Linked DNA regions of Arabidopsis thaliana. The main gene of each other region encodes a partner of the protein of the gene in region 4 in a complex. Each region holds a gene or a part of one and is shown on either strand. Other genes may lie near its edges. The genes, in order: STV1, AT5G45775, ATL5 and AT2G19730.

Evidence for each region.
Region 1: AT2G19730 (region 4) and STV1 share a complex: the UniProt entries of both Arabidopsis thaliana proteins name them as parts of the large ribosomal subunit.
Region 2: AT2G19730 (region 4) and AT5G45775 share a complex: the UniProt entries of both Arabidopsis thaliana proteins name them as parts of the large ribosomal subunit.
Region 3: AT2G19730 (region 4) and ATL5 share a complex: the UniProt entries of both Arabidopsis thaliana proteins name them as parts of the large ribosomal subunit.

Annotation. Positions count from the first base shown.
Region 1 is NC_003074.8:19,659,926-19,663,529, forward strand, and holds STV1 (Ribosomal protein L24e family protein), read right to left. Parts: upstream 2,101-3,604; 5' UTR 1,988-2,100; coding exon 1,977-1,987; intron 1,599-1,976; coding exon 1,523-1,598; intron 1,426-1,522; coding exon 1,324-1,425; intron 1,220-1,323; coding exon 1,071-1,219; intron 978-1,070; coding exon 824-977; 3' UTR 563-823; downstream 1-562. Other genes in the region: SRPK4 (ser/arg-rich protein kinase 4), read left to right, coding at 2,487-2,681, 2,792-3,604. UniProt on the Arabidopsis thaliana protein: Might have an extraribosomal function in reinitiation of translation of ETTIN and MONOPTEROS genes that are involved in the auxin-mediated gynoecium patterning.
Region 2 is NC_003076.8:18,564,456-18,568,286, forward strand, and holds AT5G45775 (Ribosomal L5P family protein), read right to left. Parts: upstream 2,128-3,831; 5' UTR 2,042-2,127; coding exon 2,039-2,041; intron 2,016-2,038; exon of another isoform or gene 1,950-2,015; coding exon 1,842-1,949; intron 1,747-1,841; coding exon 1,704-1,746; intron 1,617-1,703; coding exon 1,421-1,616; intron 1,025-1,420; coding exon 826-1,024; 3' UTR 537-825; downstream 1-536. Other genes in the region: RLP55 (receptor like protein 55), read left to right, coding at 1-390; AT5G45780 (Leucine-rich repeat protein kinase family protein), read right to left, coding at 2,491-2,784, 2,873-3,264, 3,346-3,684, 3,775-3,831. UniProt on the Arabidopsis thaliana protein: Component of the ribosome, a large ribonucleoprotein complex responsible for the synthesis of proteins in the cell.
Region 3 is NC_003074.8:9,268,730-9,273,376, forward strand, and holds ATL5 (ribosomal protein L5), read right to left. Parts: upstream 2,737-4,647; 5' UTR 2,599-2,736; coding exon 2,596-2,598; exon of another isoform or gene 2,446-2,595; coding exon of another isoform or gene 2,443-2,445; intron 2,223-2,442; coding exon 2,153-2,222; intron 2,061-2,152; coding exon 1,842-2,060; intron 1,747-1,841; coding exon 1,667-1,746; intron 1,582-1,666; coding exon 1,465-1,581; intron 1,349-1,464; coding exon 1,044-1,348; intron 956-1,043; coding exon 844-955; 3' UTR 548-843; downstream 1-547. Other genes in the region: GLYR1 (glyoxylate reductase 1), read right to left, coding at 3,220-3,303, 3,410-3,580, 3,651-3,729, 3,819-3,934, 4,061-4,162, 4,247-4,348, 4,428-4,538. UniProt on the Arabidopsis thaliana protein: Component of the ribosome, a large ribonucleoprotein complex responsible for the synthesis of proteins in the cell.
Region 4 is NC_003071.7:8,509,746-8,513,812, forward strand, and holds AT2G19730 (Ribosomal L28e protein family), read left to right. Parts: upstream 1-1,740; 5' UTR 1,741-1,815; exon of another isoform or gene 1,816-1,846; intron 1,847-1,993; exon of another isoform or gene 1,994-1,997; 5' UTR 1,998-2,006; coding exon 2,007-2,154; intron 2,155-2,624; coding exon 2,625-2,788; intron 2,789-3,130; coding exon 3,131-3,250; 3' UTR 3,251-3,546; downstream 3,547-4,067. Other genes in the region: AT2G19710 (Regulator of Vps4 activity in the MVB pathway protein), read left to right, coding at 1-72; rps15ab (ribosomal protein S15A B), read right to left, coding at 478-576, 648-808, 1,384-1,513; AT2G19740 (Ribosomal protein L31e family protein), read left to right, coding at 3,832-3,911. UniProt on the Arabidopsis thaliana protein: Component of the large ribosomal subunit. Essential in leaf polarity establishment, probably having a role for translation in leaf dorsoventral patterning to specify leaf adaxial identity.

The DNA.
Region 1 (3,604 bases), on a different chromosome or scaffold from region 4:
ACAGATTATATGGATTTCATACTTATACACAAACTATAAACATTCCCAAAGTTTTAGTAAAAATTAGCACCCATTATCCAAAATTTTAAAAACTTAGCTTAGTTTTATTATACAATACAATAGAATCGAACAAAAGGGACAACAGTTTTCTATCATATCTCGAATGTATCGAAATGTACTTAAGCGAGTATGGCTTTTTGGGGGACAAGGATCATGCATGAACGAAATATTTCTCCAACCACATATGTTATGTTTTGGCCCCGTGAAAATTTTCCACAAGTAAATTTATTGCTAAAGTTATTGACCAACAACATAAATCTTGTTGAAATGAATTAACTGAACAGTGTGAAAAAATCAACCAATATTCATGGTGTTCCTTACAATGCAATTTCAGTTCTGATGCAATCCGTAACAATTGAAGTTGTCACATGTTCACAACAATCCTTAAATCGATTTTAGCAAAAGAGCATAAGATACATAACCAAGGTTGCTGTTAGCTCAGTAGTTGCAATTAGAATCGGCTATTGAACACAACCGGGTGATATGAGATTGCGTAGCAAGATAGTAAACAATGTTTTAAAAAGAGTTATTATAGGAACACAAACTCTTCTGATTTTAATGATAGGAGGACAAGAGAGAGCAGTGAAATAAAGTTCATAAGCAGCAAAATTCTCAAGTCTGATATTATAAGAGTAGCAAAAGTGAGAGACAAAAACGAAATAACAAGGTTTATGTTTTGCAAATATTCAGAAATGAACATCAACTACTAAAAGTAGCTACTAGCAGAAAAGACGCAGAGTGAGAAAAGATGGCTTTAAGCTCTTCAGCGTTTGCCACCACCACCTCCCACCTTAGGACCCTTGGATGCAGCAGCAGCTTTGGGGAAATTAGCCTTGACCTTCTGTTGCTTAGAAGCAAATTCCACCTTCTTAGCCTTCTTTTCATCTTTGGTCTTTTTGATTCTTTCCTTGATCTCACTGTTTGTTGAATCATCATCACAATACATTTATTAAGTCAAATATAACTATTTTAATCCTAGTTGGATGATTTGACAGAGGGAGAAAACTAACCGCAGAGCAGCTTCCCTGGCTGCATCACGAACTTCAGGCTTCTCAGCTCTCTTCTTCTGAATTACTTCCAAGGTAGCACCAACAATGGACCTTGAGTATGGCTTCTTGGTGGCACGTCTCCTTCTCTTCACAGCCTCTTGTGCTGCATCCTATAAAAGAAACAGAGTTTTAGAATGTTAACAAATCAGGATCAATGAAAAAAAACAAAGTACAAACAACAAAACAGATCCAAATTACTGAGTTTTTTTTTTACCTTCTTGTGTTGCTTTCTGTACATGGCAGTCCATGCAAGCTTGGATGGCTTCAACTTGTTATGGAAGTACCTCTTACATTTTGAGTTAAGAAACAAGAAAACCTGAAAACAATACAAACCATTAAAAGACTAAAACCAAAACATTTGCAAAGTATAAACAAATCAATTTGATTAGCTGAAGATTCATAAAAGAACCAACCTGAGAATCAGATCGGATAAACCTAATTCCTCTTCCTGGGTAAATCTTCTGTCCACTGAAACGACAAAGCTCCGTCCTGTATTTCATAGATAATAAACAAATGAGACATTGCAACTAGAAATGACAACCAAATGATCTTTGACACTGAAAAATCTCAGTCTACATGATAGAAATGAATCATCCATATACCAAATACAGACTAATCACAGATATTAACGAAGTATCATACTTTTATTACTTAGAACCAGATCCAGCTACACAGAGACCATGAAATTACCCAGCTTAGCTAACGGTAAAGCAAAACATATCATAAATTCCGATTGAAACAAGAGTCAATTTCAGTGAATCGATCCTTCCGATAGTGTGAAATCATGAATCATTATCACTAGGCGATGTTAATAGATTCAACACAGGAACAGATACAGAGAGAGAGAGAGAGGTGAGATTTGATTACTTGAGAACCATGGTAGTAGCTGCTCCTCTTCTTCTTCGTCTTCTTCCTCCTGCTCAGGCTGCTCCCGGAAACACTAGACTAGAAAACCCTAATTCTCTCGATACTTATATATAAGAGACTTCACATTTCACCCAATGCCATTTTCGTCTATATATATTATTCTGGCCCACACTTTAAGCCCACTAAATAGGCCCATCACAAATAGGCCCATAATTTTATTAGCCCATATATTTTTGTAGTGATGACGTCAGCTCTCCTCCAATAATTTTTTGATTTTTTCCCATAGCCGACGACGGTAGAGGAAACTTGTCAATGGACCTAAAAAACGGTGACGTTTCGTAAAAGGTAGATGAAAGTTTGAACAAGTAGCTAAGCTCTCTCTCTGCACAAGCTTCCAGAAAAAATCAAATCAAAAGAGAGAGAGATCCACAAAATTGGATTGAATCGTCGCCGGATATTCCAAGAGTAGAGAGCTTAGTTTGTCTCGCGTTGCGTCTAGATTTACTGAATATGGAGGCGGAGAAGTGGAACAGCGACGGTGGTGAATACACGTCGGAGGACGAAGGTACAGAAGATTACCGACGCGGCGGTTACCACGCCGTTCGGATCGGTGACTCATTCAAAACCGGCCGGTACGTTGTCCAGAGCAAACTCGGTTGGGGCCATTTCTCTACTGTTTGGCTCTCCTGGGATACTCAATCCTCTGTACGCATCTATCTCTCTCTCTCGCCACACGAATTGCTTGAAATGCTTTAGAGATTAATTTTTCGTTGCTTTGTTTGTGTGATTTTCTTACTCGTATATCGAATGTACAGAGATATGTGGCTTTGAAGGTGCAAAAGAGTGCTCAGCATTATACTGAAGCAGCCATGGATGAGATAACAATATTGCAACAGATTGCAGAGGGAGACACTGATGATACCAAATGTGTTGTGAAGCTTTTGGATCATTTCAAACACTCAGGTCCGAATGGTCAGCATGTATGTATGGTTTTTGAGTATTTGGGAGATAATCTGTTAACGTTGATTAAGTATTCTGATTACCGTGGCTTACCTATTCCTATGGTTAAGGAGATTTGTTATCATATGTTGGTTGGTTTAGACTACTTGCATAAACAGCTTTCGATTATACATACTGATTTGAAGCCTGAGAATGTTTTGTTACCGTCAACTATTGATCCGTCTAAAGATCCGAGGAAGTCTGGAGCTCCTCTTGTTCTCCCCACTGATAAGGATAATACAGTTGTTGACTCCAATGGTGATTTTGTCAAGAATCAAAAAACAGGAAGTCATAGAAAGGCAAAGCTTTCGGCTCAGGGACATGCAGAGAATAAGGGCAATACGGAATCTGATAAAGTTCGTGGAGTGGGATCACCGGTTAATGGAAAACAATGTGCTGCAGAAAAATCGGTTGAAGAAGATTGTCCTTCTACTTCTGACGCAATTGAATTAGATGGTAGCGAGAAAGGAAAGCAGGGTGGTAAGAAAGGGAGTCGATCAAGTCGAAGGCACCTTGTGGCATCTGCTGACCTCAAGTGTAAACTTGTTGACTTTGGTAATGCGTGTTGGACATACAAACAGTTCACAAGCGACATTCAAACGAGACAGTATAGGTGTCCAGAAGTAATC
Region 2 (3,831 bases), on a different chromosome or scaffold from region 4:
GCTGATAACTCCTTCCATGGAGTTTTACCATTCAACGAAAGCTTCATCAAAAATCTCAACTTTTTCGAAATTGGAAGGAACAGTGAGCTCTGTTATAACAAAACTGTTCTCTCCTCGAACTTGAAATTGGAGGGTCTTGCTCCGTGTGATAAATACGGTTTTCCTTTATGGTCTCCGTCGCAAAAGGAGGAATCTTTGTCAGGAGAAAACGATTACGACGTTGAAGGAGGCAATGAGGAGAAGACGGAGAATCTGAAGACGAAGGAAGAAGAAGAAGAAGAACACAAAGGTTCCAACAAGACTCTGTTTGGTCTCGGCATTGGTCTTTTCTCGCTTGTGTTCTTAATCCTCTTCCTCTTTTATCTCGCTAAAAGGTGTCGTTTGATTTGAGAAGTCTGGGACGTAGTAATTTTGTATTGGTTGTGTATTCACCCTTCTCTCCTTCTAAATGTTTTATTTTATTTTCTCCTGTTTTAGTATTTATGAATTGTGGTTATGAGTGTATTTATGAATTGTGGTTATGAGTATCTTTAGTTTTATTTATACAAATTTGTTCAAAACATAGGGTTAGTTTAGGGACTGTGTAGTCCAGAGACATATTCATCTATAAGGACAATGAAATCAAAGGAGCTGCTTTTGATTGATTTTAGTTTTGATGATGACATTGAATAAAATAAGAAACATATCTCCAAGGTTCTTGGAAGATTTAGATTCTACCAAACTGATGTCAAAAGATTTACTACAACAAGAAATTCTTTAACATCCAAAGATAACAACTTAAAATAAGCTAGAATCAACAAAAATCTTTAAAGATCAAAACACTTTTTAACCAGTGATGTTCTGAGACTTGTTGAGGATAACTCCTTCATACTTGACCTGGAACCATTTCATTGCATCATCCTTGGTTACTCTGTGTTGAATACCAACACGAGTCTTGCATCTACGGCGGCGAGCCACACGATATCCTGGGCGTTCAAGGACAACGTAAAAGTCCATTCCGTAGATACCAGTGGAAGGATCGTACCTATATACACAAAATAAAACACATGAGAACAGTAAACATTTCAAATAAACCAGTTAATCAGTTTCGAATCTAACACCCTTGAAAAACAGTAAAGCATTCATCTTTTACTAGACCCAAATCTAGCATTCAACCAAAAACTAGTAAAGGGCTCATTTTTAATCCAATCCATACTTAAAATTCCACAAAAACTATAACACTCAGCGAAAACCAAAGTAGTCTGCATTCTGACTAAACCTCACAAAACCCCTAATTTAGAGACTTGACATTTAGATGCAACTGAAATTCTTTTAAACATATACAGATACATGAAGAATCCAAGTACCAAAACCATTATACAAAGCCATTAATGTAACTAATTCAAGGAAACTTTCATCGCAAAAGAAACAGAAAACTTACTTGATTCCAAGATCAATGTGCTCTTGGATACCAAATCCAAAGCAACCAGTGTCACTGAAGTTCCTCCTAAGAAGCTCATACTCCTTAACTTTCAAACCACTCTCAAGAAGCTGCATTGCCTTCTCACCTCTCACAGTCACATAACACGCAATCTTCTCATTACGCCTGATACCAAAAGACCTCACAGTGTACCTCGCTGTATAACAAAAACCACAACATACATCAGAATCAAGATCAACACAAAATCAAACTTAAATCCCTGAAAGATTTCAAATTCACATACCCTTAGAGAAGACAGGGGTTTGTCCACTGAGCTGCTCCAACACCTATACGAAATAACCAAAAACAATAATTCAAATCTAAATCACTAAATCAATGATGGATAATCGTAAAGGTCAGATTTTTACAAACAAAATCGAACCTTGGAGGCACGAGTGAGACGATCACCACTCTCACCAACGGAAATGTTGAGAACAAGTTTCTGAACCTTAATGTCCCTCATGGGGTTCGAGAGCTTCTTCTCCGACGCCTGAGAAACAAAACAAAGCCGAAAAATAAACCCATTGAACTAAACACATTTTCATTGAATCGATCTACAGAGACGAACGAAACAAATACCATTTTAAGGAGATCAATGTCGAGCTAAGAGACGAAGCAGTGTAGAGTTTGCAAAGCCCAAAACTGCGTCGAGTGCAAAGTGAGAGAACTTATATGGGTCGGTACTTAGGGTTTCTTGAATTAACGCAATGACGAAATTACCCCTTTGATTTATTAAAATGGTTTAATGGGCCAATATTATAAAGCCCATAAGAAAAGCATAATCTTAAGCATATATTTGGCCTTCTTAGTTACATAAGGCAAATAGTCTTTCATTCGCCGAATCACTTTATTATGTATGAGTTTTAAAATTAACGATAGATAATTTTTTATGAGACTGTGGAAACGCAAATCTTCATTTATTTTTGGAAGAACAGAATAAATAAGAGTTATTGAGAAAACAAATTTTTACAGTTAATGCCATGACAATGACAACAAAATCAAGAAGACTAGTTAAGACACTATGAAGTCTATCATCGTGGTCCAGAGAGCTCAATGGCTTCAATAATAAAGGACTGCTCTTCATGACCATTACTGTAGTTCCTAGAGACACTTGGAGCTCTAGCTTCATACCCTCCTTCACACTGTTCCACTAAACCTTCTAGTACCTTCAACACTTGAGACATCCTCGGTCTTAGATTCGGATGTGGCTGTGTACAAAGCAAAGCCAATTCCACTACTTCCTCCAACACCAAATCATCAAACTCTCCCTTCAAATCTCTGTCCACCATCTCTGCAAATCTCTTCTCTGCTTTCAATGTCCTTACCTACAAAAACCAATGGTTTAGATTTAAGTTTTGTCCTTATGGGTTCAGTCTAAGTTGAGTAAATGACTCATAGAATTTTTTTACTTACCCAGCTCAATATCATTCCTTTTCGAACTTGACCATTGCCTTGATCAATCATCTTATGACCTGTTATGAGTTCAAGGATTAGTACTCCGAATCCGAAAACATCGGTTTTCTCTGAGGACTGTCCAGTGGAAAGGTACTCGGGAGCGATGTGTCCAATGGTTCCTCGGACTGCGGTAGTGACATGTGAATCTCTCTGGTCTAAAAGCTTTGCTAGACCAAAATCGCCAACTATTGCTTCAAAGCTCTCATCAAGTAGAATATTTGCAGCTTTGACGTCTCTGTGAATAATCTTTGGATTGCATTGCTCGTGCAAGTAAACAAGTCCTCGAGCTGCGCCGAGTGCAATGCTTATCCTCCGATTCCAATCTAGAGACGGCTTTTCTCCATAATTGTCTGAAACATGTAATCTTATAAGGAACTTTTCGCGTTATATATCGAAAGAATAACAAAACAAGAAATGTGTTAATTGAAAACCTCTCAGACGATCAGCTACGCTTCCATTTGGCATGTACGGATACACAAGCATTCTCTCTTCCGGGGTCATACAGAATCCAAAGAGGCGTAAAAGGTTACGGTGAACAGCTAAGCCAATCATCTCTACTTCGGTTTGAAACTGAACTTCTCCTGTATAAATCGGATCTTTCAATCTTTTAACTGCCACCACAGTTCCATTTGGGAGATACCCTTTATAAACCATCCCAAACCCTCCTTGTCCCAAAATGTTCTTTGGACTAAAATTGCTTGTTGCGGTTTGTATTTCGCGAAAACTGAACCTTTTCAGATGGCCGATTTCAAATTCGTAGTCTTGCTGCACTAAGAAATCCATAAAAAGTAATGCAGATTTTAGCAAAGTCTTGACATATATTGTATATGACAGACAGAGAGAGACTATTAGATATGTACCGTGTGATCTTGAGAGACGTGATCGATGCCAAAGCACCCAGAAGAAGAGAAACATTA
Region 3 (4,647 bases), on a different chromosome or scaffold from region 4:
AATTTTTTTAAAAGGGTTAAGAAGCCTATTGCAGCTGCAAGAGTACCAAGGAAAAAAGAAGAATTCATTAGTAAGGTGAAAAAAGGATCTAAGACTAAGCATACATGGTAGAGGAAGGATTAACAAAGAGACGTTGTGTATATTGAATACAGATCGTTGACTCTGTTGGTAGAGAAAGAGAAGCTTCATGGCTGTTACCTTTCACCATAAAAATTTATGGAAAATTTTGCTAAGGACAAATCGTGGTCCCTTTCATGTAGGGCTCCACCATTCATGTAATTTACTTGGAATCCAAATAATACACATCATATTCTCGATTATATACTAAAGAAGTCACGAGAGAAATTAAATTACGTATTAGTCAGCTTCCAGGATAGTTCATACTTCATACTACAGAGCAGATAAGTCATTCCTACTTTGCATAAGACAGTTCCAGTACCCGATAAGGCTACATATAATAATAGCTCCAAGAGAATACTGAGTTATTTCCTTAAACAGTGATTTAGCTCTAAACTTGTAGTAATGTGATCTAGTTCATCTTGTAGCAATGTTTTCTAGTTCATATAGATGAAGTCTAACAGTTCTTACATTTAACAATAGCAAACTACAGATAAAATCAAGTCATCAAACTATTGTCATACAAATTCTTGAAAATTATGATGAAGGTAATAATAAGATAATGATACTTCAAAGAAAATGTATCCTCAATATCAAAATCCTCGAACACAATTAAAATGTGAACACAAAAGCTGAGTGTTTTAGTCTGAAAACAGAAAATTTGAGGCATTAAGCTCAAAAGATAAAAAACTACAAGAGGCATGAGATAAAGAAGGCTTGACTGATTTACTCTTCATCGTCCTCATCATCATCATCACCACCTGCTCCATTCAATGCCTTGACTCTCTCGATCAACTTGTTCTTCCTCTCCTCGTAAGTAAGTTTCTTCAAGTTGTACCTGTTTTGTTAAATGGAAGACCAAATGAGACACCAATACACCAACAAGACAAGAATATAGATAGACTAGATTGATTCTGTTTCCCTACCTCTTGTGTTGCTTGGGAGCAGGTTTCACGGTTTTCTTTGGGTTGGGGTCAGCACGAATAGCTGCGTGAACCTTCTTGTACAACTCCTCAATGCTCTCAGCTTCAACTCCTTTCTTGATGTAAGCACTGAAGTGAGTTTGTAACTTCTCTGGCTCATCTTCTCCCAACAGCTTCATGTAGTTTGAGACATGGCCACCATAGATGTAGTTCCTGTGGATTTCAGCATCAAGTTGCTTGTTCTCCTTGTGGAACCCAGCAAATCTCTTGTCACTGTGAGGGATATCAAGACCACCATCCAAAGCACCCTACAGATTCAAACAGCGAACCAAAAGGATATTAAAGAATTGCCAGTATAAGCATTTGCTCAAGAAGAATGACAAATAAGAGCACTCACAACAAAAAAAGAGAAACAAGTTAATACCTTAAGAGCACCGAACACACGGTTTCCTGTTGTGGTCCTGATAAGTCCAACATCAAGAAGAGCACGGAAAGGTCTCCTTGAATCAGTTGGCTCAACGGAAAAGTCTTCTCCAGTGGCCTGATTCATTGTGTGACTTGAGTTTCTAACAAGAGACAATAACAATGCTTCTTATTATCAAGATGAAACCAATCACACAACATACCTCAACGTTTCCCTCATACTCGTCATCCATTTCCAACATCTTTAAAACACGGCGAGCCAAAAGAAGGCCAGTACAGTAAGCTAGTTCAACAAAAAAAAATTACACATAAGTAAGCCATAAAGACAGAATCAACCATATTAAATTGGAAAACAATACCAGATGACACATTCAATACCTGCAGCATAGTTTGTAAGACCAACAGTGAGACCATACTGAGGCAGTTCATGTGCGTAAGCAGAAGCTTTAACAATGTCACCAGCAATGCTTGCAGATACAATCTGTGCCACTATGTCTTTGTTGGTAAACCGGACAACAAAACGATACTTAGGAGTATTGTACTTGTTCTTGTCTTGGTTGATAAGACGGATCCTTGCCCTGTAGTCAGTCTTTCCATCTACACAAAAATAAAATAATTTTCAGAAACAGATTGAAACAAAGAGAGAACAAACAATATCATCAGAATAAAACGAATCAACAATCTATTACCTCTTCTTCTCCTGAACTTCACTTGGTACCTCTTGAAGTAAGCATTCGACTTGGTGGACTTCACAAACACCTACCAACAACAAATCATCTTATTTTATTAGTCTAAGATCCAACAATATAAAGGTTCTTCGATGGTAACAAAGATCTACGGTAAGAACTCCATTGAATACGTATCAGTGACCTCTAAAACAGAACAAAAGCAAAGTCTCAAACTTTTCCTATTTCAATTCTCAAGCAAGTTATAAAACCAAAAACCCATGAAGAAAAACATCTACGAAGGTGGATAGAACCATAGGATCACGAATTCTCGTTACGATATCTAATCAAAAGCAATGCAGGAGATTTCTATATGAAATGAAGATCAAAACCCGATTTTCTTAAGAGAAGATTAAGAAGAAACGATTGAGAAATGAGAAGAGATAGAGATTAAAGCTAGGGTTTACCATTGTTTGATTCCTCTAGCAACGAGAGGCTTTGCTGTGAGATTGTGAGTGAAGAGAAGCAAGAGGCGGAATGACCTAAATGCGACATCTTATAAGACAAAACCCTAGAAAACTCCTCGTGGGCTGAAAAATGTTAATGGGCTTTACTAGTTATATTATTAATGGGCCTATGGGCTTTTACATTCACACTCCAACGAAATCCAATTTTCTACTGAAATGGTCTCCTCCTCTCCTCGTTTGTCTATAATCCATAGGAACATTTCTCTTGACCATCTTGATGCAATGTTATTTCTTTGATCTTCTCATCTACGGGTTCTTTTTTGCTTCCTTTGTTTCATATAACCTTAACAGTGACCAACTTCAAATAAACTTTGCTCTATTTTATTGGTTCTGTTTCAATCAATTTGATCTACCTCTGGACCAATATCGAGTGAACTAGCCATAAAGTAGTTGAAACGTAAGGTTGCAACTCTATGAACGTTTCTGGATATGTGGTTAAGACTTTTTATTTGGTGAAGGAGTAAAATGTGTGTTTGGCCAAATGAGTAAATCTCTATTTGGGAAGATAACAATGATTTCAGTATCTCAGCCAATCCAAATGAGTGGATGTTTTGAAACAGTTTGCTATTCGCGGGAGAATTTCACAGCTTCAATCACAGCAGAGAAGTCGAGATCTCCTAGTCCCAAGCTTCTCGCCTTCTTAAAAGCCTGTCGAGAACCGAAACATATATTTTAAGATTCAAGCTAAGAAACCAATCTAGAGGAGGGAGAGCCAATATGTTATTGTCTCTGAGTAACTAACTAACTAACTGACCTCGTTTGCAGCCGCGGCTACAGGCATGGAAACCGCGTTTTCATCGCCAAGAGCAAGAGCTAGCCTCATGTCTTTCTGCTGATGTTTCAATGGAAATGCTGGTGGGTAACTACTCTTGTTCATTGAAGGTCCTTTCCCCTTGAACATCGGGTTAGTCATTGCTCCCAGATCCTGCCCATAGCAGAAACCGATTCAAACCAACACCATTATTTCAGAGCTTGCAAAAGTTTGATCACCTCACCAGAATATCCAAAAGAGTGTCAGAGCTAAGTCCACTCTTGTCAGCCAATACAAGCCCCTCAGAGAATGCATTCATCATGCTGTATCAGACGAAAAACAATAAGATCATGAAGCCATGTTCCATTCCTACTACTAATGGTAGTAATTGTAAAAGAGACGGGACATTCACCTTCCCATTATCATGTTCACTATTAGCTTCATTTTAGCTCCGTTTCCAACTTGTCCCAAGTAAAACGATCTCTTCCCCAAGACATCAAAAGCTGGGATTGATTCCTCAAAGAGTGCCTTACAAAAAAGGATTAAAACACAAACGGATTATAGCCGCACATCGAGAGCTCCTTCCTACTAAGTCCAACTAAAACAGTTCTTGAGATCTATCAATCAATCCATAAGTACAGTTTTGAGTTGTACCTTGTCACCAGCAGCAAGGATAATGAGTTGGCCATCTTCAGCTGGCTTTTTGCTACCTGAAACCGGACCTTCTACGAACCGACCACCCTTCCCGGTGATTGCCTACCAATGCGCAACACAGCTCAATCAAACTAATCAACCTTCTTCTAATCTTATCATCAGCATCTAAAGTACAAAAGATTCAACCTCATTGATCTTCAAAGAAGTCTCTGCATCAACAGTCGACATATCGATATAACCTTTTCCTTCACATATCTGCTCCAAAACACCGCCTTTATCGAAAACAACCTAATCAAACAACTACTTCATATCATTCATCACCAATGCTAAAACACACACAAAAGAAGCAAAAAAGGATTTCAAATACCGAAAGAGCAGCACAAGGATCAGAGAGCATAGCAATAGTGTATTTGCATTTCTTGATTACTTCAGCTGGACTCTCACATACTGATGCACCATGCTCCACAAGCTCATCACACTGTCACAATCATCAAAAATTCCCAAAATTGCATTAAATTACTCAAAAAGTTTCCGACTTTATCAGATCTGAACAACTAAAACTAAATCAGAAAACCATAATACCAAAA
Region 4 (4,067 bases):
CACCCCAACCTCCCAGAATATGACGATATCTTTGCAAGGCTCGGAGCGCTTCGTGCTCCCAGTCGACGCTGAATCTGCTCATCTTGTCCTTCTGTTCATATATATATTCTTTCACACGGAAAACAGTTCCCCTCATTCTTTACTCTGACTGAATTTGATATTCTTACACGTTATACAGATTGAAGTAGTGGTGTGATTCTGCTTGGTCTTGATTGGTTTTCCTTGTCTTTTTTTTTTTTGTGTGGATAAACAGAATAGAAAATAACTATTTGCGAAGAGAAAGATTTTATAATACCATTCGAAATGTTGTCATAATAGAAATAAATTTTGTTCTCTAATTCTCCATCTTGCTGAAACTGCAGTGCAAGAAAACAAACAAACAAACAAACAATGTCGAAAAAGCCAGACAAATGACATGTTATGGCAGGGTTTGACATATCAAAGTCCCTCCATCAGAGTTTCTTTCCGTATTGCAGTTCAATGAAAGAAACCAAGAACCTGACCACCCACATTCCGTTTAATAGCTTCTTCATGATCCAAAATGCCATCGGGAGTTGTAATCACTATATAACCCCACTGCATATAACAAATTAAAGAAGGTTTAAGTTACGATTAGTTGCATATTCAGAACTAGTGTAGAACCGAACCTGGCGCGTTGGAAGTGTGCGTTCTGTGTATTGCCCGATCTCATTTGCCTTAACGTCCTGCCTATAAGTGAGAGCTTTGCAATCATTAACCCTTCCTTGTAGATCAACAGTTATTCTTCCAACTCTGTGTGGATCATGGACTTGGAAGTTCTTGATGTACCCTATACATAATACATCAACATACATTTTGTAAAGTAATAGACAAAAAACTAGCTGATTCTGCGGTTTGAGCATAGAAATGGTATCTTTATACTTCAGTCACAAACTATCAACTTTGAAAAGAACTACTTCAAATTCCTAACTAAAAACATACAAAACACAGACGAAGATCGAAACAAACTTAAGTTAGACCATAAACTAAACAGGAGCAGATATGACTTTCTCCAACCATAGATCAAGATGTAACTTATCCATAAGAATCAAAAAACAGAAACTTTTCAATCTTCTGCAACTTCATAGTTAACCAAGAACAAAGCTTAATCATTGGGACCATGTTGTAACCAATCTCTTACATCGAGTGATCACACATGGAAATTCTTGAGCTATACGTGTTAGGATCAGCTCAAGGACCAACAAAACAATAGAGACTATGGATCATTAATCATACTTCACTACAAGCAAAAGTGACTAAAACCAATGTCGACGAAACTGATAAATCTAAACAAGTAGATGAAAAATTAGGGAAATGAATTAAGACCCAATTAGACCAGAAGAAAGAAGAAGTGAAAAATCTCACCTTTCTCTTTCATGATTTTGAGAAACGAAGACATTACGGTAGAGACAGGTTTCAACTCCACCGAAGCTTTCCCTCGCTTCTCAGCATTCACGATCGTTCTCAATGCATCGTTCAATATTCTCCTCCCCATTGATCGAAAATTCCGATTTCTAATACAAATTCTATAATCGAATGACAACGAATCAAAAAGAATCGATAACCCCTAAAGTTCAACAGAGCAGCAGGAAATGGGTTTATTCCAACGTTTCTCAGAATTGTGGGTATTTCGACATTTCGAAAAACATTAGGGGTATTTTAGACTTTTCACGTTCACTTACATGAGCTAGGGTTTTATTTTTTTCAGAGGTCATATATAAATAGCTCCATTCGTCTTCTAACAAAGCTCCGGCGCCACCATTAAAATCTCTCGATCTCTATCTGCGAAATTTCACGGTGAGCTTAGTATTACTCTCAATTGTTCTCAGTTCAGTATGTCTTGATTTTCGTAGCTTAGATGATCTGATTTTGTGTAGATATTTTGATTCAGCGAGCTCTATAGTAGTAGCCTTTAGGAATCGATCTGTTAATGTATGTGTTGTTGATTGGTAGTATCATTTTTGGTGTGGTGAAGGTAGGTATTTGAAATGGCGACAGTTCCAGGACAATTGATCTGGGAGATCGTGAAGAACAACAACTGTTTCTTGGTGAAGCAGTTCGGTAGAGGAAACTCTAAGGTTCAATTCAGCAAGGAGACTAACAACCTCACCAACGTTCACTCTTACAAGCACTCTGGTAAATTTGTACTCTTGTTTACGAGATTCTTTGTTTCTGAACGAAATGATATCTTGGCCATTTGAGAACAAATGATTACTTTACATCTCTGGTTGGTTGATTTAGTAGAATAGATTGGGAACTAAAGTTGTTAAGAAATGTTGATGTGTTAAGTGCTTTTGGTTCTATGAAAGATTGTGGATTCTCGACTATTAGATGATTGTGGTTGAAACTTGGCTGTTTGAGATCGTCTTTATGCACTATTTTATTGATTCTCGAGTATAAGCTTATTTTCTTATCTGTTGCAAGTTGACCGTGAAATGTAGTTTCTTTACATTTGACCATTTGAATCTGTATTACAATTGTGTATGTATCTTCTAATTTAAAGACAAAAATGGTAGTCTGAGTTGAGCAGACACTTCATACTATGTATTAGGTTTTGTTATTGTCTTGAATTAGGCTAAAGTTTGAATCTTTTGATGTGGTTTCAGGTCTTGCAAACAAAAAGACTGTGACCATCCAGGCCGCTGACAAGGACCAAGCTGTTGTGCTCGCCACCACCAAGACCAAGAAGCAGAACAAGCCTAAGCTCTCTGTCAACAAGTCTATCCTCAAGAAGGAATTCCCCAGGATGTCAAAGGCTGTTGCTAACCAGGTATTACTCAATTTTTATTACTTTAGTGTTTTTTATATGTCTATGGTGTGCTTATAGGTCTCTATATCTAGTTTTGTGTGTTATTTTCACGGCTATGATCTACAATTGGTTTTTATGTTCTTCCCTCTACCTGTGAGAGGAGAGTTAATATGTTATGGTAAAACGATATGATGCATAGCTGTGCAAAGATTAAAATTTAACTTCATATAAGGCTCCTTTTTGTGGCATATTGATGAAATATTAATTTTACACTTGGCTATTTTCATTGATCTGCTTAATGTTGCTGTTTATTGGTTTCATACGTGAATACAATCTAAACCAAATGATTGTGTAAATGTTTAGGTGGTGGACAACTACTACAGGCCGGACTTGAAGAAAGCTGCACTTGCTAGACTCAGCGCCATCAGCAAAGGTCTCAGGGTTGCCAAGTCCGGTGCCAAGCAAAGAAACAGACAAGCTTAAGCTTCTTCTTTCACAATCTGTTTTTTTTGAAGTAAAAGATTTTGTTGAACAGGTTTTATTTAAGTTGTTGCTTTGAAGTTGAACCATAATGCTATTCTCCTTTTTCATTATCCTTATTATAAAGGAGTTAGAAGTTTATCTTGTTATGCTTGATGTTTCTGGTGTGCTTGTGTTACATTTTGTTAGATCCTTTTATCGAATCAAGAACTTTCTTAAAATCTCTATTCTAGATTTTATTAGCAAATCAAATGTAATCAACAACCAAGTCCTTATATATTATGACTTTTGAAAGCCTAAATTGACTCAAAATAGCAAACATAAATGTTTAGATTTGTTGCATCAAATGTGATGTTCTTGTGGACTATAATGTTGACATTTTCATTAGATCCCATCAAAAACCAACTTGAGAATTCCATCTTAGCATGCTCTATACTTATCCAAAAGCCCATCAGGCCCATAGACGGCCCAACTTATAGCATACGGAAAGGTTTATATTAGGGTTTCTTAGACATGAATTAATTCTGTTCTCTTGCTGTGGCCGTCTCCAACACCATTTCGAAGACCAGGGAGATCGAAGCAAAATGGAGAAAGGAAAGGGAAGAAAGGAAGAGGTCGTGACCAGGGAGTACACTATCAATCTCCACAGGCGCCTCCATAGCTGGTAAAACCTAAAGCTTCAATACTTTTGACCTTATTTGCAATATCTCGTTTCCGTTTTGCTTAAGTTCGTTCTGGGCATAGAGTCTAATGATTAGACTAAAATTGCAACTTGTATTGATTCGAATTAGGTTTCTTGATGAATGAAAAGAGTTAGAAT